Linked DNA regions of Macaca fascicularis. The protein of the gene in region 2 binds, or shares a complex with, the protein of the main gene of each other region. Links are inferred from orthologs where the notes say so. Each region holds a gene or a part of one and is shown on either strand. Other genes may lie near its edges.

Region 1 (2,608 bases), on a different chromosome or scaffold from region 2:
GACCTGGAACAGCTGTCCTGTGCCAGAACCCTTTCCAGTCTCCTGGTGGAAAGTGTCCATATTTAGTTGAGGATCTAGTGGATCCCTAAATTTGTGCACTCTCCTTTTGTGTCTGTATAGCCTGGAAAATAGCTAATACTGGCCAGGCGTGGTGGCTCATACCTGTAATCCCAGCACTTTGGGAGACCAAGGCAGGTGGATCACAAGGTCAGGAGATCAAGACCATCCTGGCTAACTCGGTAAAACCCCGTCTCTACTAAAAATACAAAAAATTAGCTGGGTGTGGTGGTGGGCGCCTGTAGTCCCAGCTACTCGAGAGGCTGAGGCAGAATGGCGTGAACCCAGGTGGCGGAGGTTGCAGTGAGCAGACATCACACCACTGCACTCCAGCCTGGGTGACAGAGCGAGACTCCGGCTAAAAAAAAAAAAGAAAAGCTAATACTTATGGATGAGGCACTGTTTTAAATGCTTTACGTGTATTATATAATCCTTATAATGACTCAATGAGGTAGATATTATTTTATCCTCATTTTACTGGTAAGAAAACTTAGGCATAGAGAGGTTAAGCAATTTGTTCAGGGTTACACAGCTAGGAAATGCAAAACCAAGATTTGACCTTAGTTTATCTGGCGCCAGAGCTTATGTGCTTTCTACCACATTATACTGCATCTTTGCTCGGTCTCAGGGCCTTTCATTGTGTATCTTTCTGATGACTGTCTTGGTGGGACTTTGGGATAGTGTCAGGTTAAGGGAACAGGAGCCGGTTTCCCTTTGTGTGCCCTTATCTTTTCTTCCCAGTAGGCAGAGGCCTCCCTAACCAAGAATGTCCCCTTTCATCCGTCCACAGGTCACTGCAGCCAGAGAGGTCCAGAAGAGAGAGGAGGCACTGCCTCCACTACAGCAACTGCACCCACGATGCAGAGCATCAAGTGCGTGGTGGTGGGTGATGGGGCTGTGGGCAAGACGTGCCTGCTCATCTGCTACACAACTAACGCTTTCCCCAAAGAGTACATCCCCACCGTGTTCGACAATTACAGCGCGCAGAGCGCAGTTGACGGGCGCACAGTGAACCTGAACCTGTGGGACACTGCGGGCCAGGAGGAGTATGACCGCCTCCGCACACTCTCCTACCCTCAGACCAACGTCTTTGTCATCTGTTTCTCCATTGCCAGTCCGCCTTCCTATGAGAACGTGCGACACAAGTGGCATCCAGAGGTGTGCCACCACTGCCCTGATGTGCCCATCCTGCTGGTGGGCACCAAGAAGGACCTGAGAGCCCAGCCTGACACTCTACGGCGCCTCAAGGAGCAGGGCCAGGCGCCCATCACACCGCAGCAGGGCCAGGCACTGGCCAAGCAGATCCACGCTGTGCGCTACCTCGAATGCTCAGCCCTGCAACAGGATGGTGTCAAGGAAGTGTTCGCCGAGGCTGTCCGGGCTGTGCTCAACCCCACTCCGATCAAGCGGGGACGGTCCTGCGTCCTCTTGTGACCCTGGCACTCGGCTTGGAGGCTGCCCCTGCCCTCCCCCACCAGTTGTGCCTTGGTGCCTTGTCCGCCCCAGCTGTGCCTTAAGGACTAATTCTGGCACCCCTTTCCAGGGGGCTCCCTGAATGCCTTTTTCTCTGAGTGCCTTTTTCTCCTTAAGGAGGCCTGCAGAGAAAGGGGCTTTGGGCTCTGCCCCGCTCTGCTTGGGAACACCGGGTATTCTCATGAGCTCATCCAAGCCAAGGTTGGACCCCTCCCCAAGAGGCCAACCAGTGCCCCCTCCCATTTTCCGCTACTGACCAGTTCATCTAGCTTTCCACACAGTTGTTGCTGCCTATTGTGGTGCCTCCTCAGGTTAGGGGCTCTCAGCCATCTCTAACCTCTGCCCTCGCTGTTCTTGGAATTGCACCCCCAAGATGCTCTCTCCCTTCTCCAGTGAGGGAGCCACAGAATCCTGAGAAGGTGAATGTGCCCTAACCTGCTCCTCTGTGCCCAGGCCTTACGCATTTGCTGACTGACTCAGCCCCCATGCTTCTGGGGGCCTTTCCTACCCCCATCAGCATCAATAAAACCTCCTGTCTCCAGTGGCCCCGGCTCCTCCCTGTGTGCTGGGCATTAGCGGGTGGGCATGGGCTAGGGCTCCCCAGAGACTGGGAGCCTTTTGTTTTTTCTAGTAGACAATAGGCTTCATTGTGGTCCCCTCACCCCCCAATTTCCCTAACAAAGCTCTAGGCTCCCTTGGAGGGGGCAGTCTTGCTCTGGGGCCCAGTCACAGATGCTATAGTGGACTCAGACACAAAACTTGAGGAAAGACTTCCTGATCTTAGGACTCAGAAAGGGAGAGGTTGAGAGCCATTAGCCTAAAGGCAGATGCTCTCACAGTCATGCATCTGAGAGCTGTACCTCACATCACCAAGAGGACAGTGCTTTAACAGGAGTTGGAGTTTGAACCCAGGTCTCTGCCTCAACTGAAGACTTCCAGGTGTCCTAGCTTGCAGTCCTAGAATCATTACAGATAGCTCAGTCACTCCTGCTCACCAAAACAGAGGCTTAGACCAGCCTTAGGAGACTCCAGACCTAAGGGGGATTGGGGGGATGCTGCTAGGAGTCATACCCTGCCA
Region 2 (3,653 bases):
CAGAGAAACACAGGCATCCTTACAATATTTGTGTTGAAATTGTCTGCCCCCAAAAGATGAAACTCAGGAGAATAGTCCTGGGAAATACAGAAAGAATAATCTTTGGAAGTATGTCTTTTTGAAAAAATTTGCTTATCAGTGAATTATAGAGATGTGATAAATCATGCTTTGTGATGATATCATGAATCATCCCTGGATTGATGGGTTTCTTGCTATTTGCTGTAATTCCAGGTCATCCTCAGTGCCTGGTGTTTCTTAAATGAGTTCCCGATTTGCTTCATTTGTTCCCTTCTCCACGTCTCTGCTCTACTTACCACGAGCAGTCAATTGTGTCCCACTTGGATTTTCAGATAGCAAGTTTTGTGAACAAGTCAGCCATAGACATCTCGATCCTGCAGCGGTCCTTGGCCATTTTGGAGTCGATGGTGCTCAATAGCCATGACCTCTACCAGAAAGTGGCACAGGAGATCACCATCGGCCAGCTCATTCCACACCTGCAAGGGTAAGCATGCTGAGATGCTCTGGGGAGGAGAAATGCTTCAGGAAGATGGCCACGGTGATGCACTGGGAAACATTTTGTGTTTTTATCGTTTGGTTAAATGTATAGAAAAAAATCTCAATATAACCAAACCATGTGTCCCACTGGAATGGCATGGTTACTTTCCCTTGGCCCCTGTCCCTCACTGAACTCCAGACTGGTTCTTGGCACTGCCTGTCCCCACACCTGGCCCTTGGTAAGCTCTCAATTTTAATGCATATTGGTAGATATTGGCAGAGTTTTACTTTTAAGAAGGTAAAACAGGATGATTTGTTCTCTTAAGTTCTCTTTCCTAAACCATCTAAGCTAATGTTTTCTGTGATATAATGAGTATTTTCATAGTTAATTAGAAATGTAATGTTATGCCTTTTTGCTAGGAATTTTTAAAGGCAGGCTTCTTTCTTAGTTATGCTCAAGGTGATTCTAGTGAGTTGCTTCTTTTGTATTTTATAATAAAATAAAGGTTTTTTTTTTTTTTCTAGTGGCTTGAGCTATAAAATGGAAGTAAGATAGCTGCCTCTGCAGCCTGCAGTCTTTGAGGCATTTTTCCCCTTCTTTCCTCCCTTAGGTAACTAGGAAGGTTGTCTCTGATGATACCAATCTGAGGAGGACTCTATTGTACAGTGCTACTTTAGAAATTAAAGTATTTTGGGTTGCAGTGATAATAAACATTGTGAGCTCGCTCACACAGGAAAGGAGGTTATTGGAACAATACTGGGGTACCTTGTAGAATCCAGAAATGACATAAGTAGCTAAGCCTTGAGGAGGAGAGAAACCATAGCTTCCCTGGAGTCCTCAGCAGATGGCCTTTTCTCTAGAATTGTGATTGGCACTACAATGACCCAACTCCCACTAACTCTTGTCCCTGGTCCAGTAGGTCGCAGTTCTCAAGAGGAAACCCGATTGGCCCATTTGGGTTGGTGGTGCAGGGTGGGAATGGTTCTCTGAAATGTTAACTGTTGTGTTTATAATATAAACTACCAAAGTAGATTATATTAGATATTTTTTTCATTTGGAGGTGGGAAGATGATCAGCATTTAAAATTTAAGTCACAGAAGCTGAGGATTGTGGTGGCCTCAGTGATTGTGACCTCAGAATCATAATTCTTCAAAATGATGAGAATGTAGGTAGCTTCTCTAGAAATAAGACCAGTTTCACATTTCCTTTGAGTGTGAACTGCATTAATTTATATACTGTGTCTTTTCTGGGAATCTCAAAGGCACACATCTTCATCCCAAAGCACATTACCAAAGTGAAGAGTTTATTATTCTCCAAGTACTGTGCTAAGGATTTTATATGCATAATCTCATTTTATCTTCACAGCAATCCCATGAAGTAAGTGTGTCTAACCCCACGTTGTAGATGAGGTAACTGTGCCTTGGGGGATACCCATGAACTTGTCCAAGGTCTCAGCCAGCCTGTGATGAACTGGGCTTTGCACCCTATCCTGGCCTGGTTATAAGCTCCACTTCTGTCTCGCTGGCCTGATAAGTTATTCCTAAATGTAGCTCATAAGTCACTCTTTGTTTATGCCTTGAGTCCTCCTTATTTACTGTTTACCACATGCCTTACATTAGAGCTTTGTTTCATTTATTATTTCTGGTTGCTTTCCAGTGAAAATGAGATTTATAAACAAACACCCGTTCTTTTTGTTATTTAAATGTTTATATTTGGAAATAGAATTTTAGAATATGTAATAGAGCCACCCAATTAGCCCAAGAATGTAGAGACATCTGAAACTACTCCCTGATATATTTCTTGTATCAGACAGAAAATTACACATATGTACACACACATATACATACATACATACATACATACATACAAACAACTATTACTAGTAGTACATCAATTACAACATCCCCTAGGTTTATGCTTTCAATCTGAATAAGAGAGAAGGCTGCCTGTATTTCTGGGCATTCTGCACTGACCAGTGTACTGTGAGCTGGTAATACTAGTTGTATATTTACCGCCTTGTGATGTTTGAAATGCATTCTCAGTGCTAAATGCATTTGCTAGGCCCTACCTTTGTCTCTCACTTGTTTTTGGGAGAGGAGGCTGATTTTGAGGCTTTTCAGGGTTTGACCCAGGGCTAGTCTCTTCTAACTTTGTGTTCTGATTTTCTGAATTGTTCTGTATCTTTACAGGTCAGATCAAGAAATCCAAACCTATACTATTGCAGTGATTAATGCACTTTTCCTGAAGGCTCCTGATGACAGGAGGCAGGTAAGTTGCATTTGTTTAGTCTAACGGCTATGTCAGGGCTAAGAACTTTGTGTGCGGAGAACGCCCTCTCCTTCCATCCGGGGACTCGTTGGGCCACTCTGCTGTCCTGGCCGCATATGGACTCTCCACAGCAGCTATGTTCTGCTGCACAGCTGGCCCGCTGGGGTCCTTCCCAAATCCAGGGGCAAGTGGGTAGAGACGGTAAACCCTTGACTGATGAGGGATGCTAGGAGTGTTCCAGCAATAGAGCCTTTTCATGAAATAGAATGCAACCTGGAAGACCAGATGTACAAAGGTGAAAACGTTGCTGCTGGGTGGAAGCGGAGTTAGGAGTCCCCGCGACCTTCTGTCGTTTCATGGGATGCTCACTAGGGTGAGGGAAGTGCAGTCCTCGTTTTCTGGATCAGGAAAGGGAGACCCTGAGAGGCGCCACGTTTTTCCCAGGGAGGGAGGCGATGGAAGGTGAGAGGACAGGAGGGATAATATGCAGATGGCTGCTCCTGGTGGAGATAACTGCATTCACATGTCAGAGGGGCTCCTTGCTTGGTGAGATTACTTATTTCTGTGTGTGGATGTGGCAGGGAAAATGGAGCCATCTCTTTCCTCTGTATAAAAAAAAAACCAGGTGCAGTGGCTCACACCTGTAGTCCCGGCCCTTTGGAAAGCCAAGGTAGGCAGATATTTGAGGTCAGGAAGCTGAGACTAGCTTTGTCAATATGGTAAAACCCCATCTCTACTAAATATACAAAAGTTAGCCGGCCTGTTTTACAGCCATGATAGTACACACTGGTAATCCCAGCTACTCGGTAGGCTGAGGCAGGAGAATCACTTGAACCCGGGAGGCAGAGGTTGCAGTGAGCTGACATCACACTACTGCACTCCAGCTTGG

What was found. Proteins that work in one complex are often made in the same cells at the same time.
Region 1: the proteins of ELMO1 (region 2) and RHOG are in contact, whole or in part, in a crystal structure (PDB 7Y4A), measured with the Homo sapiens proteins. The link is inferred for Macaca fascicularis from reciprocal best matches to the Homo sapiens genes ELMO1 and RHOG. Residues at the interface, in NP_001193409.1 of Homo sapiens: Lys9, Val10, Ala11, Glu13, Tyr18, Pro19, Leu21, Met22, Ala54, Asn71, Gly72, Ile74; in NP_001656.2 of Homo sapiens: Val36, Phe37, Asp38, Trp56, Tyr64, Arg66, Leu67, Leu70, Ser71, Pro73, Gln74.

The regions. Positions count from the first base shown.
Region 1 is NC_088388.1:70,446,433-70,449,040, forward strand, and holds the end of RHOG (rho-related GTP-binding protein RhoG), read left to right. Parts: intron 1-847; 5' UTR 848-915; coding exon 916-1,491; 3' UTR 1,492-2,074; downstream 2,075-2,608.
Region 2 is NC_088377.1:93,082,083-93,085,735, forward strand, and holds part of ELMO1 (engulfment and cell motility protein 1), read left to right. Parts: intron 1-350; coding exon 351-502; intron 503-2,685; coding exon 2,686-2,764; intron 2,765-3,653. UniProt on the Homo sapiens protein: Involved in cytoskeletal rearrangements required for phagocytosis of apoptotic cells and cell motility. Acts in association with DOCK1 and CRK. Was initially proposed to be required in complex with DOCK1 to activate Rac Rho small GTPases.